Rattus norvegicus: one gene and its partners. The protein of the gene in region 2 interacts with the protein of the main gene of each other region in a pairwise test. Links are inferred from orthologs where the notes say so. Each region holds a gene or a part of one and is shown on either strand. Other genes may lie near its edges.

Region 1 (9,875 bases), on a different chromosome or scaffold from region 2:
AATGAATCTTTAAAAAAAAAAAATCCAGCCCCCCCCCCCCCCACACGCCTGTAACAGAGGCAGAGAGCAGAGACGAGAGAAGAGGGCTGTGGCAAACCTGGGCGTCCCAGGCTGGCCAGGGCTACACAGCAGGGCCAGGTCTCAGAAGCAAGTAACTGAGCTCCTGGGTATACAATGCACGGACAGACGGACAGGTAGGTCTGTAAATGTTACAATGCACGGACGGACAGGTAGGTCTGTAAATGTTACAGTGCATGGATGATAGGTGACTTTTAGAAAGTTTCTAAGTTTTGAAGCTTTTCAAATATTTTTATCTAGCCAATGGCTTTTGGGTTAGACACATTCTGGTACTTACGGGGTATAAAGGGCACAGAGTTCCTCTAGGAATGAGGTTTGTCTGTCAGAGCTGCTTTAATTGTTGTGGACAAGATGTGGGAATTATGCTAGGACTAAAACCAATACATTAAGTAAATGCTACTAGTCTCATCAATAAACATGAATGTTTTAAGTGCAAAGATTTGGTTTTCTATAACCCGTTACAAGAATATTTTTCATAATTAATTTAAAGAGAAACATCTCTTAAAAGTGACAAGAAGGGAGCCATGTTCCTGGAGGCAGACACTGCGAGGCTTTCAGGTGGGCAAAGCTGGGGAAGAATGTTCTAAGAATGAAGTTCTTTTTGGTATTTTAATTCCTCCTCCATCATTAGCACACACTATAATGTGCTGAAACGGGTCCTGCATATCTGCCTACAGGCATGTCCGCACTGACAAGCAGCACCAGCTCCACTCATAAATGGACCCTTACAGACACAGCCAAGCCAGCACTGGATCTGCCCATGTAAGTTTAAAGACTTAGTCACAGCAACAAACACTCTCCTAAAGTTCTAGCTGCGGAATAAAAAGACGGTGAAATAACGGCTGGAGGCTCTCGGGACCGCCCGCTGCCTTCCAGACCTTTACTCAACACATGCTCCCCACCAGGAGCACAGCAATAAACCTTAAACTGGTGCATGATACAAAGAGTTGTAATTTGTTTGTATCCCTACTGTTGAATCCTGATTTTTGATTCTCAATAGGAAAGTCATGAGTTATAGTAATCAAGCAGTAGTTCAAACAAAAAGACTAAAAGTAACATTATCAAATTACAAAGCATTGCTTCTCATAAACAGGACGCACATAAAATTCAAACTATTCTAAATACAGAATTATGAAACGCTATTTTAAAAGCATGGAAATTTTAACTTCAAACTCTTACAAAATGTAAGACTGTGGCCTCTTAAAAATATGCCCTGTTAGAATGTGCCATGTTTCAGTGCACACAATAGGCATCTATCTCCACTGGCTTCTCAGGTACTGAACATCTCCTTTGGAGATGAGTGAGTGACGTGGACATTTTAAGTGCATTTCGTGTTGTTTTCTTTTAATTCCTGACCATAACTACCTTGATAAACATCTTCGTCAGCCTGTCACTCTGCTTCTATAACCTGGTGTAGAAGCAGCTGTGCTTCAAGCAAGCATCTTCTCAGTTCCCTGGAAGATGAATCCCAAGCAGCCTGCACAGCAGAAGGACGCCAACCCCATGCTCTCCCAATTCACAGGGACACGACTGGCCACGGTGAGACTATGAGTGGGCAGACGGGGAAAAGAATGTGCAAGAACAGCCGTCCCCCGGCGCTTGTTCTCACTGCAGTCAGGAACATTGCACACAAAGCTGACGTCAGCACTATCGAGGAGAGTGACTGAACAGTAATAACCTCCTGTCTCCTTCCTTTTGTGTGTCATACCATGTTGTCAATAGACTCGGGATCTAATGGAATCCAACTGTGGGACCAAGAGCTTAAACTTTCCCCCAAAAAATCAGAGCCAGTCTTCATCCATGGGTATTTTTCTTCTCTCTGTTAAGTTACCTGTTTGCAAACAAAATAATATAATATTAGAACAAAATGCCTCTTAAATATAGAGCATAAGTCTGTTCCCTCATACTCCTGGAAATATCTTCAATGAATATTTTTTCAATAGTAATCTATACAATAATGGTATAGCATTTCCTTTTAAGAAAAATGTTTATAATTTTTTAAACTAGATTTTATTTTCTATGTAAATGAGTGTCTGCATGAGTATGTCTGTGTACCATGTGCCTTCAGTGCCTGTAGAGGCCAGAAGAGGGTGTCAGATCCCTGTGACTGAAATTACCCACTAAGCTGCCACATGGGTACTGGGAATTATATACAGGGCCTCTAAAAAACAGCCAATGATCTTTAACAATTGAGCCGCCTCCCCAGACCCCATGATGTTTGTATTCTTAAAGTAGTAAGAACAAGAGTCATTTAATACAAATTTTGATCACTATTGAGGGTGTTAGATTCACTTTCATTTCCGTTCCTTAGGAGAGTAAGTAGGACCTATTAAATGGTAGTCTTTAAGCTTCAACAGAGGCAGACTGCTTTATCAACCTGCCCGCTGGGAGGAGGATAAAAACCATTCTTTAAAGAGACATGAACAAGCATGTATTGCAAACTTGTTTCTGTATTATAGTTCTGTTTTCTACTAATGAAGTTATACATGGGCACTGAGCATCTCAACACAGCTAATGTGATCAGAAGATGACTAATTTGTAGACTAAGAGGCTCTAACAAAGTGTCTTCCCAGTACATCTATTTTGGTTTGGTAGGATCCTTCTCTGAGATGTGCTAGCTGGAAACACCACACACAAACTATTTCACAATTGTATGTCAATTGCATACTGAAAGGTTATTGTTGTAGTCCCCTGTCAGATAAAAGTTGAGATCAATTTCACGTATTCCTTTTCCCTTTATAAAGGACTACCAGCAGTTTTCTCTTTGAACTGTTATACTTAGAAGTTTGAGAAAGACCCTACAGGAGACAAATTAGAACCTTGTCATAAAGTCTATGATTCTGTCTCAGGTTTAGAAAGCTACTTACTGCGGGACACTTAGCCACAGTCATCTCTGGGAAACCTCACAGTCATCTCTCAGAGGAGCTCTAAAGGTATGTAGGGCATACATCTGCTCAGTGTTTCCCTGGTTTTCGTTCAACACTACCAGCCTCTCATACTCCCTTCACAAAGTGTCCTGATACTCAGTGCCCAGCCATGTAAATCACCTCAGCTGAATTATACAACATGCTGAGGCCCTGTCTTATGTGTCGGCAAGACCTGGTGGGATGGGAAAAGACAACATGGGAATGCTGACAGGTGCTGTTGTGTGTAGCAATAAGGACACAAAGGACAGTTAACCAGTCAGTGGGGACTGGGCGAGCTACACAGGTAAGCAGCAGGAGAAGCCAAAAGGAGACACTGAAGGGGGAGAGGATATGCAAATATGTACTCTGGAAAAGGACCGGAAGACAACTTGAGTCTCTGAATATTAATACATTAATCAGAAACACTGCTATGGTTGAAAATTAGGGTCTCCGTACATTACAGCAATAAAGGAAAACACAGGGAGAAGGTAATGCACAATCACACATTATGGAGAATGTGATTTTAGACCTGTGTGTAAGACTGAGGCCCATGCTGACGATGAGGGCTGCAAGGAGGGGTGTTTTCCTTAACGTACCTCCAGGTCCAAAAGGAACAGGTAAAAACCCTTTTGGTAGTAATCATTTATTTGAATACTTCCCATATTTTTGTTTGTTTGTTTGTTTTTTGGGTTCTTTTTTTCAGAGCTGGGGACCGAACCCAGGGCCTTGCGCTTCCTAGGCAAGCGCTCTACCACTGAGCTAAATCCCCGCCCCCAATACTTCCCATTTCATTGTGCCAAGTCTTCCCAATCCGTGTGCACTTGCATATACACTAAACACCCACCTCGGCAGATTTGGAGTCAAAGGCCGGAATTCAGGCTCACCAAGTCCCTATGGCCAGTTCATGGAATCACACACAGCCAAGGATCCTGTGCAGACCCTCCCATCCACGGACAATTATCCTGTATACATCCTTGCTAAAAATCATTTTAAAAATACATTTTTCTCGCAGGCCCCTTAAGACAACTCTGTAGTCTTTGCTGTCCTGAAGACCACTATATAGACCAGGCTAGACTGAACTCAGAGTCCTTCTTCTGTCTCTGAATGCTGGGATTAAAGGTGTGTATCACCATGCCCAGGTTAAAAAAAATAATAGCTGTCATGTGTGTGTGTGTGTGTGTGTGTGTGTGTGTGTGTGTGTGTGTGCGCGCACGCACACACGCATCTCCTCTAGCTAGTGTGTTGCCTCTTTGGGGTTCACTCGTCAGTTTTTGTTTTGAGATATGTGATAAAGGCTGGCCTCAAAGTCATGATCCTCCTGAACATGGCTGGGGTATTAACAGTACAACCAAGTCTCGTTAACTCTTCCTGTTTTAGTAAATGCCATAGAGTCTGTCAGAGAACAGAATTATTCAGAGTAGAAAGTCATATGCCCTGTACATTTTGCACACATTACCTTATTCCAGCCAAGGACGTAGCTGTCAGTCCTTTAGCTATGCAACTAGCTTATGGCATACGCTATCATCACTATTCTGTAAGTGTGATTTGTGCTAATCACTTCATAATTAGCTTTTAATAAGCAGCCGCAGGGCTTGGTAGCACATGCCTTTAATCCCAGAACTCACCAATACAGCAGCAGATGAGAAGGGAGGCCAGCGTGATCTGTGTATCTAGTGCCAGACCAGCTAGAGCTACAAGGTGAGATCCCACCTCAAAAGGGGGAGGGAGGCCGGCAAACAGCAGACTGCAAGTATTACGGTGCGTGTGAAAACCATTATATTGGACACGGGATTCAAGGTGTTTGTAACTTATTAATGTAGACAGTGAAGAACAATAGTGTGAGTGAACCATTTTAAATATGTAGAAAGCTATATAACCAGATAACTTGGTAATTTTCTAGCCTGAGAAAACTCCCTTCTGGGCAGCAAAGAAAGGATCAAGATTCAGTAAGACTAACTTGAATAATTCAGTTAAAAAGGCTTTTCTGGTCAAGATGATAAAAAGAACACTGTCTTCTTTACTTGGAATATAACTACACTTGAGATATTTTAATGAGCAAGATAGAAACAAACGGTTTGTAAGTCTTTCTGGGGCTGGAGAAATGGCTTAATGGTTGGTCAAGCACTCTTAAAAACCTGCAGAAGGACCTGAAAGAGCTTCCTAGACCACATGGCAGAGGGCTCACAACCACCTGTTACTCCATCTCTAAAGACCAATGGTCTCTTCTCGTCTCTGTGGGTACTGCGCACATGTGCATGCCCCACCCTGACAACCCCCCCCCCCACACACACCTTTAAACACAGAAATGAATAAAACACTTTGCTGGCCATACCATGTAATCCATACCATGATGGCAAGAGAATCGAGTGGAGTTCCAGACCAGCCTGGATACTGGATACAGAGGCCCTCACAACTGCAACGGTGACACACTAGAGACACTTACACCTGACTGCACAAGAGGGATGCTGGGTAAAGGACAGGATTTTAAAACATAGACACTGCACTGAGTAAGACACTGCTCTGGAGTCAGAACTGGAATGCACACATGTATTATCCGTGCTATGGAGCACGTATGATGAGCATGCCCCATACTCAGCAGGAAGGAAGCCGGGGCTCATCAGCGAGCACAGCCCAGGACTGCGGCCGTGTACCTGCTAGTTCTCCCAGTCTGTGCCAGGCAGAGCCTCGTCCTCGTCCTCCGACTCTGGGGACGCCTCCTTAATTCTTCTCAGAGCCTCGTGGATGCTCCGTGTCAACGGGTCTGCATCAGGCAGAAGCGTGAAGGACTCTCTCAGAACTTCTTTCTGAACCTTCTTCAATTTTACCCCTTTCCTTATCTGCGCCAAAATATTATTACTGTCGTCTTCATCAGGAAAGGGAGGCAGAGTCCGCTGCTCAACCTTCTTCAGATGGAAACTACCACGCTTCAAGGATGCTAACACTTCATCCATGGGTGAGCTCACTTTGAAAAAGATAAAACAGTCAGTGAGGATTATTGAGCTTTAAAGTTTTGGTCAAATTTTGTGACCTCCAATGCACGCTGAATATGATAGGTCTTAATACGACAGGTGAGACCCCCATAGTACCCAAAGTAGGGCAGTGATTTGTTACATATTTCTTTTTTTAATTTAATACTGGAGCCAGAAGATGCCTTAGTAGGTAAAGTCCTTGCTATGCCCAAGATGAGGCTCTAAGTTTAGAACCAACATCCATATAAAAGCTGGACAGAGTTGTGCACACCTATAACCCTAGCACTTGGGACATGCAAGGACATGGGTGGAGCCTGACGGGGGTGGGGCAGGGTCATTGGCTAGGTAGTCAATCTGAAATGGTGAGCTCTAGGTTCAGGGAGAAACTGTCTCAATAAGTAAGGCAGAGAACAACTCGAATGGTATTACAAGAGACTCTGACCTCAACATATTCCCACACACCCCAACACACACTCCCACACACCCCCACACACCCACACACACACTCCCACACACACTCCCATACACACCCCCACACACACCCCCACACACCCCCACACACCCCCACACACACTCCCATACACACCCACACACACTCCCACACACACTCCCACACACCCCCACACACTCCCACACACCCCCACACACCCCCACACACACTCCCGTACACCCCCACAGTCCCCCCCCACACCAACACACCACCACACACAATTTAATGCTGGTTCACTGTCAGTGGATTTTTTTCAGTTATTTCACATGCAAGGTTCCATTCAGATTGTATTATGAAAGATTTTACAGAATATTCTCAGATCAATATGTAATATGCAAATTGCTCTGCATTATTTGCCCCATGCAAATTCAAAGTCCCTTAAAGGCCAGGGAAATGAGTTTAGAAATCTCTCTATTGATGCATGCCGGGGCATGCAATGAGTTGCACACATAGCTTCCTGTTCTTCTGTCTTCAATCCTAAACTGTGACCAAACACATGGCCTTGCCAATGGCCTCGCACCTCTTCTTACCTAGCACGAAAAGTATTGCTTAATCACATGTCATGGCAGAGGCCATTTTAAAAACAGGACTAGCATCTCATGTTTGAGAACACTTGTTGCTGTGAGTTGGTAAGAATTCTCCTCTGCTGTGACCCTGAATGTTCACTATCAAATAATGGTAAATAGAAAAATCATAGTTTAAGCTTTGCAACACAGAATTCCATGCAAGGATCCATCCACACACACACACACCCTTGCTTCACTCTCCAGCAGAGTGGGACAGGTCCGCTCACTCACCTCTCCTCCTCTGCAAACCCTCCGCAGTCTTTCTGAGCTTTCTCCGGGCGCTGACCAGCTGGCTGCTGTCAAAGAGGTGTGCTGTGGGTGCGCTGGCCGACTTGGGGATTCCCTTCCCACCACACTCTGTCCTAAGTGCATCTTTCTCCAGTGTCTCTGCAGGGGTGGTGGCTCCACTGTCCTTTGCAACCGGCAGAGGTGGGGGTGGAGGGGGAGGGGGTGGAGGGGGAGGGGGCGGTGTTGGAGGAAGAGGGGCTGGGAGAGGATCTATAGTAACAGAACACCGTTCGGGGTCACTATTGGTCAACAGTGGAGCTGACTCAGGAGGAGGCCGTTCAGAGGTGACAGCACGAGGAGGTAATGAGGTGGATTCAAGTTGTACTGATGAAGTGTCTTCAAGCTGGACAAGGCTCCGGGGTTCTGCTGTCTGTGAAGACCCAAGCTGGCCTCTTCCTTCTCCCGCCTCTGCTTTCCCCTCCCCCTGCAGCACTGCTGGGAGAGAGTCACACTGCTCCTCACAGGGCACAGGACTTGCCGTGCTTTTTCTTCTTGAATGAGCTGCTCGTAATCTGGTTGACTTAAGGATGACTTGTCCAGGGTACCTCTAAAATATCAAAGTTAGGGAATGGGTGCATTGTATTAAATTAACTTGCCAACAAATGCTTAATTATTTCCTCCTTTAACAGAATGTTATTTATTTGGTTCTTTTCTGATTTTATCCAAGAGACAGGGGGAAAAAAAACAAAGTAGAATGCCTGTGCATAACTTCCTTTTAAAAATTTTTTTATTAATTTATATATATATACTGTAGCTGTCTTCAGACACACCAGAGGAGGGCATCAGATCTCATTACAGATGGTTGTGAGCCACCATGTGGTTGCTGAGAACTGAACTCAGGACCCCTGGACAAGCAGTCAGTGCTCTTAACCACTGAGCCATCTCTCCAGCCCTGTGCCTAACTTTCAATACCTTTCAAACAATTATCCTCAAGCCCTTCACTATCTACTATCAAATATGCTAAGCCTTGTCCCCTCTCACCTATGAGGCCAACTGCTTAAGAACTCCACATGCAGGGCCTTGTGCTGCACTTGTGTTTAATCCCAGCATCCAAGACACAGAGGCAAGTGGCGGGCTCTGAGTCTGCATCCAGCCTGGTCTGTACACATTCCAGTCTACCCAAGGCTACCCAGCAAGACCTCATGTCACAAACAAGAAAACTAGCCACGTGACTTTAATCTTCAAAGGAAGAAACAGTAGATAAACTCTATCCAATGTATATATTACTACTTAATGTATAAGCTAAGAAACTATTTTCAAATGCTTAAAAAAAGAAGAAACTTTAAAAAGGGGGCAGGGGAGGGGGGCTTACAAGGTGTAGGTTGATGTCATTATGCAGGTGAGGGCTGGCACAAGTTAGATCAAGGCCATGATTGGACAGTAAAAGAATAAGGCAGGGACAAAGTTTTTGCAGGAGAGGGAGACAATGAAAATGGAGACTGAGAACGATGGCCCAGACTTGGGTGGTCCTAAATTGTCAAGATAGTCAGGATGGATTTCTGTAAATTTATCTTATCTAGGTGGGCAGTTTGTATCCTCATCAATTGGTTGTAAGTTTATCGTGTGGATGTATTGTACATTGAGTATTAACATATAAATCTGGTTGTTGGGTTACAGTTTGTTGAGTCTTGATTTCACTGGGTTGTTGGGAGTGTGAGCAGAGTCCGTGACAGGGAGACAGGCTAGGCTATAGAATGTGTGGGGCTAGCGTGATGTGGGGCCACGATAGCATAGCCCTCGGGAGGCAATGTGTGTGCCAGGCAGGTAACAACCTGCCAAGGGGACAGTGTGTGAAAGCGGCTGACATAGTAACAGCCAGAGCACAGATCCTCGAGGAGTGGGAACTGTCGGGAACCACTCCTGCAGCTTTTTTAATTATACTGCCTTTCAAAAAAAAAAAAAAAAAACTGATAATTTTCTGATAGGAGTGAAATGAAGTGTTTTTGTACTATTGCCATTAATAATTTCTTTAATTCAAAATAATCCAGGCTTTCTTGACACTTTATTCTTTTTTTTTTTTGGAAGCTGGGGACCGAACCCAGGGCCTGAGCTAAATCCCCAACCCTATTCTTAATACACTCAGGAGGTGGGGCACCAGGAGTCAGAAGAATATTAATGTCCAGCTTGGCCATAGAGAAGGAAGCCAATTAAACGACTATGGCCAGGAAGCACTCTGAACAGAAGCCCTACAGTCAGAGGCCCATGGTTCTCTGAAAAGCCATGTGAATAATCAATAGACTGCATTTTCATTACCTGCTTAAATGTTCGCAGTCTATCCAGCGTCCTTTGCCTCTCTTGGCTAACCCAGGCACTTTTTCTTTCCTCTTCTTCGTGCAATTTGTCTCTCTTCTGGTAACAAACAAAGTAAGTGCATTATGCTGTGCCCACTTTATTTTAATTATCAACAAGAGAAAAGGTAAGGAGAAGATTTTCCCCAGTATGTCAAACAAATTAGTCACGATGACTCATTGGACAAAAATCTTTGACAATGTAAAACACTACACTCCCTAAGCTCACACTAGTCAGCTAAGTAAGATGGCACTTCTCTGAAACAAACAGCTTTGTCTCAGGGCTTTGG
Region 2 (10,590 bases):
ATCAGGAAAGAAGAATGTTGGCTGCTACTTGCTAGAAAGGCATGGTGACTGCAGACTTAAAGATTGAAGGAAATGGGTGGGCCGTGGTGGCCCCAGCCTCTAATCCTAGCTTTGGGAGGCAAAGTCAAACAGAGTTCTGTAAATCTGAAACCAGCTTGGTCCACATAGTGGGCTCTAGACTAACCAATGAGCTACACAGCTGCTTGGCTACACAGTGAGACCCTGTCTCCAAAGGGGGGGGGGGGATGAAGAAGAATGTACTAGACGACTAGCATGGGCAGCTTTTGCACCAGTGGCAGACGGGAAATAAAGAAGATAAAGTCACAAACAGTGGCATTTAAATTGGCACATCTACTTTACAGACTAACTTGGCAACAACCAGTAAAATTTAGAGACATCTATTCCACGACCTAGAAATCCCCTTCTTGTTGGAATATGTTACACAAGTGCCGAGAAGGCATATATAGAATTGCCGGTTGCAGCATTTACTTTATTATGGAAAACTGCAAGACGCCCAGGTGCCCACTAGAGGATGAACAGAGCTGCATGAAACCACACGGATACCTAAAACTTTAAGGTTAACCAATGAAGGTAGGTGATGTAACATCAGACGGATGTTGAAATCACACAAATCAGAATTATGTAATATTTTGTGACTATATACACATAAAGTACAACTTTCAAACCTTTGGATTGTTTCTGGTGGTCGGGGTTGGGTTTTTCTAGATTTTAGGCTTCTACTTCAAATAAAGGCTGGCACAGAATTGTAAAGTAGCAAGGAAATTTTATTCCAAAGCAAAGCAAACAGCATAGACCAGAAAGAAATACATGGTAAAGGACCAGTAGCCCGCAGGAGTGAGAAACTGTTCGAGGCTCCAATTATGACTTGAGGCTTCCTTTTATGGTGTTCAAGAAAAGAAGTTTGGTTACTAAAGTGTGTAAAGTTGTTTTCTGTGTTGAACAATAGGTTAAGTCATATAATTAATTATTTCCCACATCACTTCCCATAATGCATCTGATCTTAATCATAGAGGCACCCAATTACACACACACACACACACACACACACACACACACACACACACACACACACACACACACATATATATAATGACAGTCAGGGAATTCTCCCTCAAAGTTTACTCAAGGACAGTTTTACCTTTATGTAGGCATACACTCAAAAGCCATTTCAGATCGGATCTGTCCTTTTATTCTTTCTACTCAGATGTATTGGAAATATATTTGTCTTTTTTTTAAAATATTTATTTATTTATTTTATGTATGTGAATACACTGTAGCTGTCTTCAGACACACCAGAAGAGGGCATCGGCTCTCTTTACAGATGGTTGTGAGCCACCATGTGGTTGCTGGGAATTGAACTCAGGACCTCTGGAAGAGCATTCAGTGCTCTTAACCACTGAGCCATCTCTCCAGCCCCCATATTTGTCTTTTTAAAAAAATTATTATTTTTCATAAGCCGAGCCTTTAACAGCTGAAACATCTCTCCAAACCCTTTGGGAATACATTTGAATAAAAAACGTGATAGTTGTTAGAGACAAAGAAACATTAAACTATGGTTCAAAGAGTGGTGTACACACAGCCTGATGTAGGTAGGGGTCCGAGGTGGCTGGGTGTGTTGTCGAGGAAGGTTGTGTATACATGGTACACACAGGTAAAGGAACTAGGCTGCCAAGAGCATTACTGCAACATGGAGGGAATGTGCATAACTAAACCCAAACAGGGTCCCAAATTGCTACACTACTCCCTGTCCTTACCTACTTCAGAAGCAAATCTGGCTTGATATCAATTGACCTGGAGAGATGGCTCAGTGGTTAAGAGCACTGGCTGCTCTTCCAGAAGACCTGGGTTCAATTCCCAGAACTCACATGGCGACTCACAACCATCTGTAACTCCCAATGCCCTCTTCCAGTCTCCTTGCACACTTCACACATGTGGTACAAAGATATAAATACAGGCAAAATGCTGGTGCGTGTGCAAATATGTCATTTTCAAAAATATATGGTTGTAAGAAAGTAAAATTACTGCTGGGAGAGGGAAAGTCAGTTTTCTTTAATGATCATAGCCCCCAGGTAGGTCGTCCATACTCCAGGACAGACCCTGCTCCCAGGGGTAGGAGGACAATACAAACTGGACTCCACTGAAAAATAAAATAAGGGGTTGGGGATTTAGCTCAGTGGTAGAGCGCTTGCCTAGCAAGCGCAAGGCCCTGGGTTCGGTCCCCAGCTCTGAGAAAAAAAAAAAAAAAAGAAAAAGAAAAGAAAAGAAAAGAAATACAAGACGACATCTCAAAGCTGGGGGTAGGGTAGCAAGGTGAGGGTGAAGAGGGTAGATGTGGGAGGAGCAGGGACTCAAAAGCATTTATAAAATTCTGAAAGAATTAATAAAAATATAAAATTTGCTCCAAAGTAAAATTTAAACATGGCTAGGGATGTAGCAAGGTAACAGAGCGTTTGCCTACCATGCAAAAGGTCCAGAGGTTCAAACCCCAGTACTGCAAGAAGAGTAAAAAGATATGAACAGTCTGGTGTGCACAGGAGTGTTGTTGCACTAGTCTTTGAACTTTACTTTTCTGCATGTTGCCAAATGCTCACTTTAAAAATGCTTTAGTGGTTACTCTGAGCATCTAGAAATAAGGATAACAGGGGATAAATGGCTGCATCAGTCCTCAGAAGGGATAATCTCCTGAGGTGGGATGGGGTAAGGCTGAGTCTTAAACCCTGGGATTATGAGGATTAATACAGATCATCCCTCTAAGCTGATCACCTGGCTGACACACCCGGCATGCCTGGCCTTTCAGAGACATTCCTGACAGCCCCGTCCCCCATACCTGCTAAGCTCCTTCCTTCTGACCCCTAACTCCACCCTCCTTTCAACCCCATTTCTGAATGGGGTTTGCCTCCTACTGACAGACTGGTTCTGGTCTCCCTGGAACATTCCCTGAGATCAATGGTGATGACCTGCATCCAGGAACCAGGGAGAGCTTAATCCTAATGCTCAAGATCCAAGCTCTCCTTGTCACAAGCGACAATGTCTTTCTTCTCATTCACCCACTACCAACTGCTACTCTGCCCTGCTGCTGAGACAGAACCGAAGGAGCTGCGTGGGGCAGAACCACGGAGCTTCCAGAACTAGTCCCCCATGAGAGCCCATTTCATCATCTCTAAACATTGTATCTTGCTATCCAAGTCTGGCTGGATGATCTGCAAAACAATAGGCTTGCTTGGCAGCTCTTCTCTATGGCTGGATCACTATAGCCATAGGTCTTGTCCTCTGGTGAAAATGAACAATCATTCATTTCTCTGATCATCAGGCTGGGGGTGGGGGTGGGACTTACTATTGACTTCTTCTAATTTTTGGACTTTTTTTGTTTTGTTTTGTTTTTAGAGACAGGGTTTCTCTGTGTAGCCCTTGCTGTCCTAGAACTCACTCTGTAGACCAGACTGGTCTCGAAATCATAGAGCTCCGCCTGCCCCTGACTCCCAGGTGCTGGGATTAAAGTGTGTGCCGTCACTGCCTGGCAGGCATCATTGTTAATAGGAACATGAGTTTAAATCCATGAGTTAAAATCTGTGATTAATGAGGAAGGCATTATTAATGTAGTTGGAAGGTTCATGTCAACTCATTTATTCCAAGAGTCAGATACTTTGATAATAAAGATACAAAGATGGCCGGTTGTGGTGGCGCACACCGGTAGGATTTGCTGAAGGAGGCAGAGGCAGGAGGATCACGAGTTCGAGGCTAGCCTGGGCTACACATTTTAAAGGGGGTTGGGGATTTAGCTCAGTGGTAGAGCGCTTGCCTAGGAAGCGCAAGGCCCTGGGTTCGGTCCCCAGGTCCCCAGCTCCGAAGGAAAGAAAAAAAAAAGATACAAAGATAGCTAGGGTACTTCCCAATCTTAACGGCAGCCAGTACTCTGATGCTGCCCAGAGGGTCAGAAGAGCATAACAGGGGTGTCTAATAAGGAAGGGATGGCGTGTCTGGAGAGTAACTCTCAACCCGAGGCTGAAATTACTGAAAAACTAGACATGTGCAGCAGGCAAAGAAGTGCTTCATTCCTGTGGAACATGGAGTCTTAAGAGCCTTGCAGCTTGGGGAGTTCGAACAAGGCCAATCCAGGTCCAAACTTTAGGAGTGAGACTACAAGAGAAAGAACTGGTGTGAGTACCCAGTTTAGAAATCTCCCCACGATTAGGACTCGGGGAGCCCATTCCTCCTGAGATGTCAGATCTGCCTCAAGATCAAGTTCATCTCTTGAATAAATAGATGAAAAGATGAAAAGATATGGTTTCCCATATCTCCTGTTACAGGGAACATCAGTGGTGCTCACACGGCACAGGTCACAGAGGGCGTGGCTCAAAGGACGATCTTGGTACACTTAGAGACAGTCTGGGTGGATCCTTGGCCTCTGGCTTGGTGGGAATTCGGGGGAAAGCAGTGATGTGCCGCCTGGTAGTTGGCACATCCAGGTCTCAATTTCCCTACCCGCCAGCTCTGCAATAGCTCTGGGGTGCGCGAGGCCACCCGGAGGGGATGGGCTCTGTAGACTGCCGGGATGGAGATGCTGGCCCAGCCTGGAGACCAAGGAAGTGTGCGCGCGTGTCTGCGCATCTGCATGAAACAGTCTATTCAACACCCCACCCCTCTACCCAAAACTCCCCGGCTTCTATCACCCGGCAAGACCAGGCCCTGATACCCCAGCGCAGAGAGGTCCCCACGCACGGCTGACCCAGGGTGGGTTCTGCAGCCAGAACCAAGCCATCCTAGCACTCCTTGGGAGCATCTTCAAGATCCAGTAGCCCACGCCTGCTTTGCAGGCGCAGCAGACCTGAAGCTGCCTCGGGCGAGCCTGGGGCACTTGGGTGCTTGCTCTGAGACTCTTTTGCAGGTCCCCGATGGGTCTGGGAGCCGGCACTGGGGAGGGTTTCCGGGCGGCCGCAGGCGGGCACTCGCGTCAGGTGGCCAGGCCAGGCCCCGCCCTCTCGGCCCGCCCTCTCTCTTCGTTGCGCACCGGGCTCCCGGTCCCCGGCCCGGAGGCTGCGGCTTCTGCTCGGGAGGCGGCGGCAGCGACGGGAGCGGCCATGGAGGCAGGCGGCGGGGCCGGCGCGGGAGCCGCGGGCTGGAGCTGCCCTGGCCCAGGTCAGAGCCGCCTCTCCCTCAGCTCCCTATGCTCTTTCCCCCAACGTCTCTCCTTCCTTCTGACCCCCAGGTTCTCCTGGTACTGAGTCGGCTTCCTCCACCCTGGCCTCCACCGGATACCGGATACTGCTCTCCATCTTTCGACCTGGGATGTCTCTTCCCAGCGGTCACTCCCCAAGCGCTCCCCATCCAGTCTCTCCAGCCCAACAGTGCTTCCAGCTCACGAGGGGGGCGAGGGGATTGTCTCTAGAACCTGCACCCTTCTAGTTCATCAAAGCTCTTGACTACCGTGAGAGGGTGGGGTGGGCGAGGTCTGGTGAGGGAGAGGAGGGGAGGGGAGAGATTGAGGAAACGGCCTAGTTTAGAGCCCCCTCTCTTCTCTCCTGGTCCGGCCGCCCCTCCCTACTCTGCTTTGCTATAAAGGACCCTCCCAAAACCTTCTTTCCTAGTTCCCACCCTATCCCTCTTCTCCTTGTGCCCCAAGCTAAACACTCACCCTCTTCTGTCTGGGCGAGGGAGAGGAGCCGGAAACAGCCTGGAACAGGGGTGCTGATGTTAGGTAGCTCCGGGCTGGGGTCTTCTCCATAGGCAGAGCATGGGAGGTGGCTAAGGGAATAGAATCACAGAGCTGGGCAGAGTGAGTCAGGCTTCTCCAGTGTGATGACAAATTTCGGGGCTCCCATATAAGAACGCAGGTCCCTTTCTTTCCCCTCGAAACCTACAGTGCCTACTTTCTCCCTGCTCACAGGACCCACAGTAACTACTTTAGGCTCTTATGAGGTATCTGAGGGTTGTGAGAGGAAGAAAGGCCAACGCTGGGGGTCCCTGGAGCGCCGCGGGATGCAAGCTATGGAGGGTGAGTTTTCTGAAAAAGGCTTTTCCATCACTCCATAACTCCCTTCCTCCTTCCTTCCTGACCCCAGAGCTCTGAGCCAGGACAGGGCCCTTCCCTTACTTCATTTCAAGCCCCTCCTTCCTGGTGGCTGAGCTCCAAGCCTCCCCTGGGTTCAGGCATTGATGGAAGTTTGGGCTCATCCCTTTGGGGCTCCAATCACCCAGCTAACCAGGTTGTGTGTCCTGGGGGAGCCGCCAGACAGAAAGAGGTCCTGCTGAAGCCAGCCTGGAAACAGGCTTTCGGCAGGGGGCTTGTTCTTCTCCCTGCCTGTTGACCCAGATCCCAAGCTGTCTCTTATTTTAAAAGCCAGGACATGGACATGTGAACTGTCTTTTCGATGCCGCCACTGTCAACTCTGAACAGAGCTCTGCAGCTTTAGTAAGAAAGTGCTTAGGAGAGAGCTCGATGAAGCCTATTTCCCAGCAGCACTCCTGTGTAGCAGGGCAGGTGGTACCAACCCAGTATCCAGGTCTTCTTGTGAAGTGTCCCCAGGCCCCTGTATAGTTCAGCACAGGCCTTCCCTAGAGACTTAGATCGCATAAGGGATCTCAGATTAACTGTGTGCTGTTGGCATTAGAAAAGGGAAGACCAGACATCTAGAATTTAAAAACAAAGCAATCCCTACCAAGACAAGATGTTGCTATTTACAGGAACTGCATTGCAGTTAAAAAAAAAAAAGTGTTCACGAGCCTGAACATGAAGACCAGTATCAGTTTTTCAAATGTGTCAGCAGGAGTGGAGAGATGGCTTAGCAGTTGACCAGTTCCCAGCACCCACATCGCAGCCCACAGTTGTCTGTGACTCCAGTCTTAGAGGCTCTAATACTCTCTTCTGACCTGCAAGGGCGCTGCACTCACATGATGGACAGACACACACGCAGGGACAGACACACACACAGGCACCTGTATGCATTAAATAAATAAATGAGTAATTTAGAAGAATGTGTTAAGATGGCTGACTTTCTTTCATACACGAGTTCAGCCTGACACTTACTCTGAAAATCAACTTTGGTCAGCAGGCAAGGGATGAACCTTGTGGCACCCAACACGGAAACATCGGGTGTAGAAAATTTCAAGAAGATATTTGATAACATACATTTGAAAGGGTTCCACCAAGTCATTTCCGCCTAATGTTTCCTTTGCTACCTACAGGCCAGGCCGGTGTTTTCTTATTATGAAAAGGCTCTAATACCTTGCAAGCCACCTAGATTTTTTTTTTCCTCCCAAGCTTGCTCCATTTGGCCTAAATAAACAGCTGGTGTCTGAATGTCTGAATCCTTTCTAAACTCCTTGTCCCACTACTCAGAGTTGAGACGACCAGTGCTAGGTGTCCTCAAGCAAGCTTCTTGTAGCTGAGCCTGCATGAGGCTGCTGTAAAGGCAGTAGATAGTCAATATTAGGTGTCAGGAAGCTGGAAAAGGTGCATCCAAATTTGACCCACCAGAGCCTGACCATGAGTTAGGTCCTATCCCAGGGAACCTCGGGGGGGGGGGGGACACCAGGTGGCACTATTCTGCTGTCCAGGGCCTGGGGTTACCACTCCAGGTGCAGGGTTCTGGAACAGGTACTGACTGTGTGGTGGGATGATTGTCTCTCCTAGGGGAGGTGTTACTTCCAGCTCTGTATGAGGAGGAGGAGGAGGAAGAAGAGGAAGAAGAGGAAGAGGTTGAAGAAGAAGATCAAGTACAGAAAGAAGGCAGTTTGGGCTCCCTGTCAGTGGGCAAGCATCGGGGCCTGAGCCTCACAGAGACAGAGCTGGAGGAGCTGAGGGCTCAGGTGCTCCAGCTGGTGGCAGAGCTGGAGGAGACCCGTGAGCTTGCTGGGCAGCATGAGGATGACTGCCTGGAGCTTCAGGGTGAGCACCCGTGACAGGGCAGGGTCTTGGGCCCAAAGGGTGTGTGTATCCCCGGTTCCAAACCAGACGTTCCTCTCACTGCAGGGCTCCTGGAGGATGAGCGGCTGGCCAGTGCCCAGCAGGCCGAAGTATTCACCAAACAGATCCAGCAGCTCCAAGGTAACTGCCCCCCAAGTCTAGACAGAGGGGAAGTGGCCACGCTAGTCAAACAAACCTAACTCAGAACCTTACCTCTCTCCTTTTCTTTATTTCCTTGCCCCTTCTGTCTTAGTCAGGGTTTCTAGTCCTGCACAAACATCAGGACCAAGAAGTAAGTTGGGGAGGAAAGGGTTTATTCAGCTTACACTTCTGTGTTGCTGTTCATCACCAAAGGAAGTCAGGACCGGAACTTAAGCAGGTCAGGAAGCAGGAGCTGATACAGAGGCCATGGAGGGATGTTACTTACTGGCTTGCTTCCCCTGGTTTGCTCAGGTTGCTCTCTGATAGAACCCAAGACCACCAGCCCAGGGACGGCACCACCCACAATGGGCTGGGTCCGCCCCACTTGATCACTAGTTGAGAAAATGCCTTACAGCTGGGTCTCATGGAGGCATTTCCTCAACTGAGGCTCCTTTCTCTGTGATAACCCCAGCTTGTGTCAAGCTGACACACAGAACCAGCCAGTATACCTTCTCTTCTCCTTGCCCCGTGTTCTCCTTTTTTCTTAATTTCCCATCTTTACCTATCTACATGGCCATCCTGCCCTCCTCTCTCTTGCCTTCCTATCTTTCCCAGCCTCCCCCCCCCCATCCCTATTTACTTTGTTCTTCTGCCCAGGGCCAGGGGTGTATGATCCAGGATGAGTTCCAGGCTGTATTTCTCATCCTGGTTCCTCCAAGGTCTCCATAGGGACCCGCTGGAGGACATTCCAGTGTCATTGAAGGAAACAGATAAGAACCTGAGTCTGTGGTCCCCAATTCCTCTATTTCAGTCCCTGTCCTTTTGTCTCAGGAAACAGTGAGGCAAGCGTCGTCCCATATTCCACTGCACTACCAAATAGAGAGCTTTTGTTACTTCTGTGGGCTTCCGGAAGGTTCTGAGGATCTGCCCTAGAAAACAGCAGGGACTCTGTAGGGAGAGCTGAGATCAAGCCAAATGCAAAGTGTAAATGGAGATGGGGGAAAAGGTCTGGAAGCCGTCCTGGAGAGAGCAAGCGAATGAACAGAACCTATATGAGGAGGAGCAGAAGAGAAGGGTACAGCATGCAAGCAACGGGAGATGGGGGAAATGTGGCAAAGAGAAATAGCAGACACAGCACGGTGTGTGTGTGTGTGTGCGTATGCGTGTGCGTGCGTGTGTGCGTGTGTGCGTGTGTGTGTGTAAACTCCCAGGTTTACCTTTACCCATGCACAAAGTTCATTATCTTGGGCAGGTCACTTATCCTCCAGAGTCTCCATTTCTTCCCTGTAAAACAGTTGTCTGTCACCTGTTTGTTGAGATCCTTTGTATTTAAAGGACCAACAAAGAACACAATTGTCCAAATTCCTAAAGAGTAGATTCCACAGCTGGGTAGGGTGCACAGGCCGGAAATCTCAGTATGTGGGAAGTAGAGGCAGGGAAAATCAGGAATTTGATGCCAGCCTTGGCTACATAGTGAGTTCAAGGCTATCATAAGACCCTGTGCCATTAAAAATAAATAAGTTCTAAAGGAAAGTGTAACAATACAAGTAATAAAGGCAACACAGGTATGAATATGACGCTCAGATACATATGTGGTACTGACAAGTTGTTTTTCTGCCAGTAAAATGAGCCAACTCAAGCCAGATTAGATTATATTAAATGCAGGTTCATTGGGAAGCTACATTCAGGCAAGTTCACTGACCCCCCAAGGACTGAGGCCGGGGCAGTCACCATGGGGAGACGGGGGAAGAAGAAGAGAAAGAAAGGAAAAGTATGTGCAAAGAGAGAAGAGAAGAAGAGGAGAGAGAAAGGGAGACCAAAATGTCTGGAATACATAGGGAGGAGCCTCTCGGGGAAGGGCAGCCCAACCCCTGTGCTGGAAAGTTCAGGGTTAGGGGCAGGGTATGCCAGGTTGGGACTGAGGGATGCTGGGAGAACCTGGAGGCTAGGTCTGCTTTGGTAGGTAAGATATGCACCTCAGTCCCTTATCCCGGGACAGATACATGGATAGGGATGAAGTGGGAGTTGGCTAGGTTATGAAAAGTCTTCAAGACATTGGTGCGTCAGTTGTGTAACGGGAAGCGTCCAACCATTCAAAATCAGGTGGAAGAACCTGGTAGACAGAAGAGCAGCAACAGCAAGTCCCAGAGATGAGGACGAGTTTCATGTGTTAGGGGGTGCAGAACCAAGGTCACTGCAAAGTTCATGTGAAGGACCCTTGTAGGAGGAAGTTCTAAGAAGAGGGCAGAGGTCTGGTTAGAGTAGGTAGGCCTTTTAGGTTAGCAGACAGAGCTAGCATCCATTGTAGATGCCATAAGAGGTATTTTCCATGACCGGAGTGGCTGATATGTTTTATATTTCTAGTTAGCGCTTTGTCTTTTTCCTCCCGTGGTAGGGGTTTAATCCAAGGCCTTTGCCAGGTGCTGACCACAGAGCAACATCCCTAAACCTTTGCTTTACCTTTTCAAAAGAGTACTTTAGAACCCCAGAGGAAGAAATGGAGTCAAACACACCAGTTGGTCCAT
Region 3 (10,470 bases), on a different chromosome or scaffold from region 2:
ATGCCTGGAGGTTCTGGGGTGAGGGTGGGAACACATTTGAGAGGTACAACTCATTGGCACCTCACACGTGTGTTGGATTAGACAGGTTTTAAAGGATAGTCTATCTCATTAATTAAACAGTCCCCTGGCAGGGCTCTTTCAAGTTTGAGCCAGAGGTGTCCTCCACAGTTCTCTGTCACATCCAGCAGCTCCTGCCCTGGGGGCTGGACATGGATGGTCAAACAGGAAGTGGATAGGCTCAGGCAGAGTGACTCACCACAGCTTGGAGCATATGGAGTATTACTCAGCCATGAAGAGGATATGTCCCGGGGTTGGGGATTTGGCTCAGTGGTAGAGCACTTGCCTAGCAAGCACAAGGCCCTGGGTTCGGTCTCCAGCTCCGAAAAAAAGAATAGAAAAAAAGGAGGATGTGTCCCACAGCGTCAGTGGTGCCCACTGAGAGAACAGGCATAAATTGCCACACAGTGTGACCGCTGTGATGGGAAATGTCCCAGGATGTGAAGTAGGTGTGGGTGTGTAGGGGGGGCTGAGATCAGGCATAGAGAAGGTTCAGGCAGTTAGGGTTTCCTCTGGGGAGTGTTCCAGAACTAGATGTAGCTGATGGCTGGAGAACTCTGTGGTGGGGCTGTTTTTCGTTGTTTTGTTGTTTTGAGACAGGGTCTCTGTGTAGCCCTGGCTGTCCTGGAATTCACTCTGTAGATCAGGCTGGCCTCAAATTCATGGATTCCCCTGCTTCTGCTTCCTGAGTGCTGGCTGGGACTAGCTGTGGCCACCACTCAGCTAAAGCAAGTTTTATTTAGTAAAATTTCTGGGAGGTGGACTGAAGTCCAATCTGGGGGTTGGGTGAACTGAATCCAGCCTGACCCTAAAGCCACAGAGGATCCTCAAAACGGACAGGGCGATAGGGGACTCTAGCCCAACTCTGCCTCAGTTTCCCCACTTGATAACCGTGTAGTGAAGGTTCTGAGATCCTGTACTAGAGGTAGGAAGGCAGGCCAGGCCACCGCAGCAGGACAATCATGAACAGGCTGGGCCTACTCCTCTGAAGCCACAACTGTTAACTTGAATGAAAACTCACTTGCTTTTATTGACACATATTTAAAAGTCCGGATTGAGTGATGAAAGGCGTGGGGTAAGGGGCTGTTGGACTACCCCACCCCTACCCCGGCGCTGCTTGGTTAGCGCCTGCCCAGTGGGTCCAGTGGCTGTATGGTGAGTGGCCTAGGGTCCTGCTCTTCATCAGGGGTGGCGGTGGGGTATCTGAGTCCGGAGGCCATGGTTCCTCTGTTCCTGACCCACTGTACTGTGACCCTCCCTGTGAGGCAGGCAGGTCTTCCGGGCTCTGCAACCTGGGTTGGGGTTCGAGGTTAAAGGGATGCAGTTGAGATTTCATTTGAGGGGGGTCTGGAGACCCCAAGGTGCAGCTTCTTCCTGGGCGGGTGTGGAGGGGCGTCTCCCGGTCCAAGAGGCCTGTCACAGGTGCTCGCTGTGGGACAGAGGGGGTGATGAAGACCTCGAGCTGAGCCATACTCTCTCTTCACCCCGTTCCTCCCCTCCTGCACCTCGGACCTGGCTACTCGCGCCAGGATCTCCTTGACGCGCGCGATCAGTCTCTCGTGCTGCGCCGGGTCGCGCTCGATGGCTCCGTGAAGCCGCGCCATGTAGAAGTCCAGCGTTCCGAGCGTCGGCGTCTCCCCGGTGCCTGCGGGTCAGCGGGTTAGTGAGGGGCGGACCCGAGGCTGAACACGCAGAGAAGGGGCGTTCCTTGGGCGGGGGCGGGGGGGCCTACGCGCAACAGGCAGGTCCGCGTCCGGTAGATGGGACAGATACTGCGGAAGCGGAGCCTGGCGCGGAATTGGGGCGGGGCCTAACAGAACGTCCTGTGGGCGGGCCCGGGGCTGTGGGCGGGCCCAGAGCTGTGGGCGGGGCTGCGCACCGGGCACCGGCAGAGAGGCGAAACTAGCCGTGAGCGCTTGTCTCACAGCCTGCAGTTGCTGTTGCAGCGCCAGCGTGCGCCGCTCCTCCAGCGCCAGCTCTTGCTCCAGACGCTCACGAGCGCTGTTCATGCTCTGAGTGTGGCGCTGCAGCACTGCGTTCTGCTCCTCGAAAGCCACGTTCATCTTCCGCAGGCGCCGCAGCTCTGCCTCGCGTGCTGCAGGACAGGAGTCAGAGCCCTGGAACTGGTCCTGGAGTGCTGTAGACCCACTTCGTCTCTGGCCTCATCCCGACCCTTCCCCTCCATCCCTGGCCTTACCCCTGACCTCATCTCCCTTCAGACCCGGTATCGGCCCTCAATCCCCGACCCCAGCCCTGACCCTTTTCTCCCCCCAATCTTAGCCCTACCCCCACCCCTACCGTCTCCAGCCTGGCTGTCTTCCCTCTATTCCCAATCCATCCCTAACTCCATCCCTCCTCTGTCCTGGGCCCCTGAAACCTCAGTCCTGACTTCAGTCCTCATTCTCATTTCCAATCTTCTTCCTACCAGGACACCAGCACCTACGAAAATCTCACCTTTGTTTTGGTCCAAAAACTCTTCAGTGAAGATGGGAACATCAAAGGTTGAAAAGCCATCGCCGCAGTCCACACCCTGGGACATGGCAATGAGTTTGGTAGGGACCCACATCTCTGGAGCTTGGGCCTCCTGGAGCACTTGGCCTGCTTTTATTTCCTTTGGGGTGTGTGTGTGTGTGTGTGTGTGTGTGTGTGTGTGTGTGTGTGTCCCATATGTATGCAGTATCCACAAAGGCTAGAAGAGGGTAGCAGGTAGCTGATCCCCCAGAACTGAAGTTAGAGATGGCTGTGCACACAGCCAAGGGGGTGCTGGAAACTGAATCTTTTTTCCTCTGCAGAGCAGTGAATGTTCTCAGCTCTGAGCGGCCCTGGAGTCCCCAGCTTCCTACATGTCAGGTCAGGACTAAGCTATGCCCCACCATGGTGTTGCTGTGTCTCCACAGTGGTCTTGCCTATATCTATGGGGCACACTCACTGGGGAAGGAGGAGGGGTGTCTAAAAACATTGGTGTCTTCTCCCTTAAGTCCTTCTGGACAGAGAGGCCCTTACCTTGTGTCCATTCAGGAGGGTGTTCATGAGCCCAGAGCTGGAGTCCTCTGGTGAGGAGGGAAGAAGGCAGGTCAGCCAGGACTCCAGGGACCCTCCCAGTCCCAAGTCCCCACCCATGGCCCCCTTGGAAACCTTTGTGCCCATTGGAGTTTGGGCCCATTAACCTTTCTTTTTGTTGTTGCTGGGTGTTTGTTTGTTTGTTTGTTTGTTTGTTTTTGAGACAGGGTTTCCCTGGGTATCTGTGGCTGTCCCGGAACTGTTTTTTTTTTTTTTAAGATTTATTTATTTATTATATGTAAGTACACTGTTACTATCTTCAGACACACCAGAAGAGGACATCGGATCTCATTACAGATGGTTGTGAGCCACCATGTGGTTGCTGGGATTTGAACTCAGGACCTCTGGAAGAGCAGTCAGTGCTCTTAACCGCTGAGCCATCTCTCCAGCCCCCCGGAACTGTTTATAGACCAGGCTGGCTTCGAACGCAGAGCTCCTCTGCCTCCCAAGGGCTGGATTAAAGGTGTGTGCCACCACTGCCCGACTCACTCACCTTTTTTTATTTTGTTTTCTTGGATCTTCTCGGTGCAGACCTTGTAGGCCTCTGACTGCTGGTATGCCCACAGCTCCTTCAAGTACTGCTGTTTCTCCTTCTCTGCCTCATCCAGGTACCGCTGGGAGGGGAGTAGCACCCACAAACTAGGGCCAGCCCAAACGAAGGCAGGCACACAGGGGTGGCCAGAGCCAGGACCTGTTCGTAACTCCCACCTTGCCTCTCTCCCTCCCTCAAACCCTTAGAAAGAGCATCCCTTCTCCAGGTCTGTCTGACTCACTCTCCACCTTGTTCTTTGAGCCAGGGTCTCTCACTGAACCCGAAGATCACCGATGAGGCTTGCCTTGCTGGCAGGAAGACCCAGGAACCCTCCTGTTTCTGCCACCCGCTTCTCTGGTCTCTACCTGCTTCTCTGCTGGCTGCAGCTTGCTCCACTCCGCGCCCAACATCTTGGTGATCTCCGGGAAGGGAAGGTCCGGATGTCGGGTGCGAATCTGCTCCCGCCTCTCGTTCAGGAAGCGAACATAGCCCGTGACCGGGGCCTTGGGCCCATTGGGGAGAATCTTCTTTCTTTTCTTGCCTTTGGGCCAGCCTCGCTTCTTCACTGGCTGCAGGAGGGGGCTGTGTCCTTGGGAGGGGCTCTGAGAACTGTGGGCGGGGTCTGGGGCGTGTGGGCGGGGCCTAGCCTAGTAGTGGGACAGCAGATCAAGGGTCAGAACTCTAGAGAGCCAATTGTCCTGTGCGGAGACAACCTCCTAGGGGTGGGACTGAAGCCAATGACAGGATGGGCGGGGGCGTGGCCTCTTGCTAGGCAGTGGGAGGGTCTTATACAGTGTGGACTTGTGAGGTGTGTGTTGCTGAGCCAGGGGACAGGCTTTTTTTTTTTTTTTTTTTTTTTTTTTTTCGGAGCTGGGGACCGAACCCAGGGCCTTGCGCTTCCTAGGTAAGCGCTCTACCACTGAGCTAAATCCCCAGCCCGGGACAGGCTTTTCAGATGGGGACTCACCTCCTCCTCCTGGGGCCCCTTCTCTCCGGCACGGGGACCTTCGCTGCGCTCCTGCTTGACAGCCACTACAAAGGCCCCATGCTGGCCCGGAGTCTTGCCTCCCGCAGGTCTTGGGGACACAGGAAACCAGGGTCACCATTAAGTGCCAGAATCATTCCCCCATACCTACCCATCCCATTCTTGTCACTGGAGATCACAGAAGTATGTGAGAGCAAGCATGAGCCCGGGAAAAGGGGGTGGGGACCTAGGGTTTGAGGATCCAAGGGTCACAGTAGACCACTGTGGAGTGAGGATAGTTCAAGGATTTCGAGGTGGGGCCGGGAGCGGGGGGAGGATGCAGTGAGGTGGTCCTGGAGCCTAGGAGCAAAATGAGATAGCGAGGAAGACTATAGGGTTCCCTGTCAATTCTACGGGGAGTACAGAAATCCCGAAGAGTGACAGGACATGGTCAGAAGTCCCAGTAGTGGGGATAAGGTAGGAAACAGGGACAGGACAGGTCCAGGGTTCCCAAAAGAGGGGTTCACAGAGGTACCTAAGGGTAGGACAGTGCATGTCCAGAGGTCCCAGCGTGGACATAACGTGTTTAGGAGTACCCGAGAGTAGATACATGGAATGTTCAGGGGTTCCCAGAGATGTGGGACAGGACATGCCCAGGAGTACCCGGGGTAGAGACGGGCATGACCAGTGGTACTCGAGGTGGACACAAGGCATTTCCAGGGGTACTCGACGATGGGGACAAGACATATCCAGGGTCGGGACAGGCAGGGGGAGGCGCACTCACGCGGTGGCTGCGCCTGGCTGCCGGGGACCGTGGGACATGGCCACTCCGGGGGGGTCCTGGAACAGAAGCCGGCAAAGGTTAGGGGGTTCCTGCCTGCCACCCCGACGGGACCGCAGGCCGGTCCCCGGGGTGCCCAAGCGGGGGAGGCTGATCCCGGGGCGGGTAGGTCCTGGGGCGGGAGGCCCCGCGATCCTTTGTTGCGAGATCGAGTCCCGGAGGCCGCGCCCCGCAGCCTCCGCCCCGCGCAGGCCCCGACTTCCCGGCTCTTTTCACCTCTGAAAAAACTTTCCCGGGACCTGGGATGCGGCGACGCTCCAACCAAGCGCCCGCGCCCGCTCCTCCCTCATGCTAATAAACCCAAGCCTAGCGCTTCAATTGGCTGAGTAATCCATGGGGGCGGGGTTATGCAGATTAATTTCGGCGCGCCGGGCGGTGATTGGCTAAAGATCTGCGGAGCCGCGTGGGAGGTGCGTCGGGCAGGTTGCGGGCGGGTGCGTCAAGTTCGGCTGCGCTCGGACGGGCTCGGGACCAATCGGAGGCGATTGGCGGCGCGCTGTGGGGCGGAGCTCCTTAAAGGGCCAGTAGGTATGGAGATGGAGACCAGGGACGCGGTCGGCGGAGGAGGCGTTTTTAGTAGGCTCCTGAGGAAGGAGTTAAGTTCCAAAGAGGCACCCCTCTGCAGTAGGGCAAGGCGTATTTTTTCTTACTACGTTGAAAGAAAAATGGGTCTGGTGAGATTGCACAGCACTTGAAGGTGCTCGCCACCTAGTGGACGACTTGAGTTTGGAACCCACAAAGTGGTAAGTGAGAATGGATTTTCCAGCAAGTTGTCCTCTGAGCTCCACCGTGTGCTGTGACATGTGCAACACATACACACCAAAATAAATGAATGAACGTATGCTTTATAAATGGAGGACTGGGGAAATGGTCTGTGTATATACCCTGACCACCAGTCACTGATTTTCCTTTCTGTGGAGCCTTGGTTTTACTTTTTGACCGAGGGATGCATTGAACCATAGGAAGAGTAACAGGCTGGGAGGCTGACACCTAGGTCTAAGCTAGAAGCTCGGCTGAGAGCATTTTCATAAATAAAGCATTTTGAAGGTCAGCTGCAGGCTGACAAGAGGGCTTAGCAAGCAAAGGGGTGGGCTGGAGGCATGGCTCAGAGGTTAAGAGCATTCACTGCTCTTCCCGAGGTCCTGAGTTCAATTCCCAGCAACCACATGGTGACTCACAACGATCTGTAATGGGATCTGATGTGTGTGTGAAGACAGCTGTGTTGTACCCATATGCAAAAATAAATCTTAAAGGGCTGGAGACATGGCTCAGTGGTTAAGAGCACTGACTGCTCTTCCAAAGGACCTGAGTTCAATTCCCAGCAACCACATGGTGGCTCACAACCATCTGTAATGGGATCCGATGCCCTCTTCTGGTGTATCTGAAGACAGCTAGTGTGTACTCAAATAAAAATAAAAATTAAAAATTAAAAAAAAATCTTAAAAATAATAAAAAAGTAAAGGGATTTACAGAGAAGTCCAACAACTTGAATTTGATCCTCATTATCCAAAAAGAAGAGACAGCACACCCCACATCTCGGTTGCCAAATGTGATTTTACTCTAGTCTGTAACAGTCCACAGTAAAAGAGAAACTGAAGAGGATTGGAGAGTTGTGGGTCTGTGGTGGAGAGTGCGTTTCTCTTGCAGGAAACCTGAATTCTATTCCCAGCACCCATTTGTCTGCTGAAAACTATCTGTAACTCCAGTCTCAAGAGATCTCTTTTTACCTTTTTAGGAAAAAGAGCATTAGCATTAGACAAACGCGCGGGCACACAGGTTTACATGCAGGGAAAAATGCTCATAAACATGAAATAATAAATAAATCTTTTTTTTTAAAGAAATGCTTGAAGTTATTGCTCAGTGGTTAAATAAAACCTGCTGCTCTTCCAGTTCAATTCCTGTTAGACACACTAAGGGCTGGGGGCGTGGTCAGAGTGGAGCCCCGCCCATAATCCCCAATGAGGGACTGGGGACAAGATTAGGGCGTTTCCCTGATGCACTGCGGTCTTGGCCTCCGTCCTCCCTCACTGTTATAAACTGGAACCCTGTGATGGGGTAATGTTGGCCAGATGACAATGTGGTAACTCATTAGACACATGGCGATGATGGTATGTGTTTATGGGACCACGCACATGCTTACACATGCAACATGTGTTTGTCTGCCTTAATGGCAGGTGCAAGTGACGCCCCCAACTCGCGGCCTAGGGGATTCTGAGCCGCTTTTCTCAAGCAAGTGACAGTGCAGATAGAGCTGCTTAGATAAGGTTGGGCTTGATCAAACCTGGGCTTCCTGTTACAGCAGAGATAGAACATTGGGGGAGAACAATGGCCGGCGGCTGTGAGGACCGAGGCCAAGGTGGCCCAAGAAGGGAGCCTGGCAGTTACTCTGTACTGAGTCTCGACCTTCATCACTGGCTGTGAGCTTGGTGTGCCATTACCTACCCGCCTTTAATGCTGGCAGAAGGGGGGGAATCTCTGTAAGTTCCAGTCTTCCCTGTGCTACATAGTGAAAGCCTCTCAAAAACAGTTAAAAATAAATAAATAAGGGCTGGAGAGATGGTTCAGTGGTTAAGAGGACCGAGTGCTCTTCCAGAGGTCCCAAGTTCAAATCCCAGCAACCACATGGTGGCTCACAACCATCTGTATTGAGATCTGATGCCCTCTTCTGGTGTGTCTGAAGACAGCTACAGTGTCCTTAAATAAATAAAATATTAAAAAAAATAAATAAAAAGACAGAAGCCGGGGTTGGGGATTTAGCTCAGTGGTAGAGCGCTTGCCTAGCAAGCACAAGGCCCTGGGTTCAGTCCTCAGCTCCGACAAAAAAAAAAAAAAAAAAAAAAAAAAAATTCCTTGGGCCTTCGAAAAAGACAGAAGCCGGGAGGTGGTGGCACACACCATGAATCCCAGCACTCGAGAGGCAGAGGCAGATGGATCTCTGTGAGTTCGAGGCCAGCCTGGTCTATAGATATGCAAGTTCCAGGACAGCTGGGATACACAGAGAAAACCTGTCTTGAAGAACCAAAGTAATTAATTACAATTAAAAAGATAGAACAGGGGGTTGGGGATTTAGCTCAGTGGTAGAGCGCTTGCCTAGCAAGCGCAAGGCCCTGGGTTCGGTCCCCAGCTCCGAAAAAAAGAAAAAAGAGAAAAAAAAAAAAAAAAAAGATAGAACAGACCCAGGTCTGAGTTTATGGTGTTTTTAAGTCGACCTTGGAAGCACCAGGGATGTAGTTTCAGACAGGTTTGGCTGTGGGGTAAGGTTGCTGGGATGGAGTAACAGTAACGAGTCCTTGAGGCTCAGATAACAGATGTATCAGCGCGTCTGTTCTACGGTTGTTTTATTTTGTTTTGTTTGTGGTGGAAACAGAACGGAGACCTATAGAGACTGGGCAGGCTTTCTGTCTCTGACCCCCACACCAGCCCTCTCTGGGGGTGGGGCGACACTAGGCAGGGCTCCACCTCCAACCTCAGCTCCAGCCCTTCACTGAGGGAGTTTTAGGCATGAATCCCACCCTGGGCCATGCCCAGACCATTTGTCTGTCTGTCTGTCTGTCTGTCTGTCTGTCTGTCTGTCTGTCTTTCTTCTTTTTTTCGGAGCTGGGGACTGAACCCAGGGCCTTGGGCTTGGTAGGCAAGCGCTCTACCACTGAGCTAAATCACCAACCCACCATTTTTCTTTCTTTTTTGTAATTTTGTTTTCTGTGTTTTGTTTTGTCTTGTTATATGACGCAGGGTTTCTTTGTGTAGCCTGGCAGTCCTGTAGCTCTGTAGACCAGACTGGGCTCAAACTCACAGAGATCCTCCTGCCTCTCTACAGTGTAGGAATTAGGGTGTACGCCACTAGTCCCTGCCCTAGATCTTTTTAGATTTTTTTCTCTTCTTCTATCTCTTCTTCTTCTTCTTCTTCTTCTTCTTCTTCTTCTTCTTCTTCTTCTTCTTCTTCTTCTTCTTCTTCTTCTTCTTCTTCTTCTTCTTCTTCTTCTTTAGATTTATTTATTTTATGATGAGACACACTAGAAGAGGGCATCCCATTACAGATGGTTGTGAGCCACCATGTGGTTGCTGGGAATTGAACTCAGGACCACCTCTGGAAGAGCAGTCAGTGCTCTTAACCGCTGAGCCATCTCTCCAGCCCCCTTTGTAAGTTTTGATTCAGGGTCTCTCACTCTCACTAAACTGCCCAGGTGCAGCTGAGCTTGCAATCCCCCTGCCTCACCCTCTGGTTAAACTTTCAGTGTGTTGTGTGGGAACAGAGCTCGGTGGCAGTGTCTGCCTTGCAAGCCCCAGGCCCTGTATCCACCCCAGTCTATCCCCCAAACCCCAAATGGCTTCTTAAACCTGGAGTGGGGGCTGGAGAGATGGCTCAGCGGTTAAGAGCACTGACTGCTCTTCCAGCAGTCCTGAGTTCAACTCCCAGCATCCACATGGTGGTGCATAACCATCTGTAATGGGATCTGATGCCCTCTTCTGGTGTGTCTGAAGACAGATATAGTATATTCACATACATAAAATAAAATAAACCTTTAAAAAAAATTAAGGGGTTGGGGATTTAGCTCAGTGGTAGAGCGCTTGCCTAGCAAGTGCAAGGCCCTGGGTTCAGCCCCCAGCTCTGAAAAAAAGAAAAAAGAAAAAAAAATTAAACCTGGAGTGATGCTGCACACCTTTAATCCCAGCGCTTGGGAGGCAGAGGCAGGAGATCTCTGTGAGTTTGAGATCAATCTGGTCTATAGAGTGAGTTCCAGGACAGCCAGGGAAAGACCTTGCCCTGAAAAACTAGGGGCGAACAAAACACTTAAGTTAGACGTGAAAATGTTATTGACACACCATGGCCTCACACTCTCAGTCCTGTGAGGATCTCGTTCTTTTATTGAACAGTGAGAAACACTAAGGCCTCTTTCCCCTCCAGCCATCCTGAAATGTCAGGAAATTCAGGCGAGCCTGGCTCCCATCAGCGGGTCTGAACCCCACTGCATCAAAGCAGCCCCCGTGCCTGAGGCTGGACTTCAGCCACCAGGA

The links.
Region 1: the proteins of Ccdc136 (region 2) and Jmy interact in binary tests that used the Homo sapiens proteins (3 or more experiments, as listed by UniProt). The two-hybrid records come from large-scale screens. The link is inferred for Rattus norvegicus from reciprocal best matches to the Homo sapiens genes CCDC136 and JMY.
Region 3: the proteins of Ccdc136 (region 2) and Hmg20b interact in binary tests that used the Homo sapiens proteins (3 or more experiments, as listed by UniProt). The two-hybrid records come from large-scale screens. The link is inferred for Rattus norvegicus from reciprocal best matches to the Homo sapiens genes CCDC136 and HMG20B.

Annotation. Positions count from the first base shown.
Region 1 is NC_086020.1:26,404,334-26,414,208, forward strand, and holds part of Jmy (junction-mediating and -regulatory protein), read right to left. Parts: intron 9,647-9,875; coding exon 9,551-9,646; intron 7,845-9,550; coding exon 7,241-7,844; intron 5,947-7,240; coding exon 5,639-5,946; 3' UTR 5,636-5,638; intron 1,910-5,635; 3' UTR 1-1,909. UniProt on the Homo sapiens protein: Acts both as a nuclear p53/TP53-cofactor and a cytoplasmic regulator of actin dynamics depending on conditions. In nucleus, acts as a cofactor that increases p53/TP53 response via its interaction with p300/EP300.
Region 2 is NC_086022.1:58,958,194-58,968,783, forward strand, and holds the start of Ccdc136 (coiled-coil domain-containing protein 136), read left to right. Parts: upstream 1-5,002; 5' UTR 5,003-5,099; coding exon 5,100-5,157; intron 5,158-5,905; coding exon 5,906-6,013; intron 6,014-7,651; coding exon 7,652-7,906; intron 7,907-7,990; coding exon 7,991-8,065; intron 8,066-10,590. UniProt on the Homo sapiens protein: May play a role in acrosome formation in spermatogenesis and in fertilization.
Region 3 is NC_086025.1:9,014,972-9,025,441, reverse strand, and holds Hmg20b (SWI/SNF-related matrix-associated actin-dependent regulator of chromatin subfamily E member 1-related), read right to left. Parts: upstream 5,741-10,470; 5' UTR 5,436-5,740; coding exon 5,398-5,435; intron 4,726-5,397; coding exon 4,617-4,725; intron 4,297-4,616; coding exon of another isoform or gene 4,219-4,296; coding exon 4,015-4,218; intron 3,732-4,014; coding exon 3,611-3,731; intron 3,108-3,610; coding exon 3,061-3,107; intron 2,588-3,060; coding exon 2,512-2,587; intron 2,195-2,511; coding exon of another isoform or gene 2,153-2,194; coding exon 1,937-2,152; coding exon of another isoform or gene 1,790-1,936; intron 1,703-1,789; coding exon 1,570-1,702; intron 1,487-1,569; coding exon 1,474-1,486; 3' UTR 1,060-1,473; downstream 1-1,059. UniProt on the Homo sapiens protein: Required for correct progression through G2 phase of the cell cycle and entry into mitosis. Required for RCOR1/CoREST mediated repression of neuronal specific gene promoters.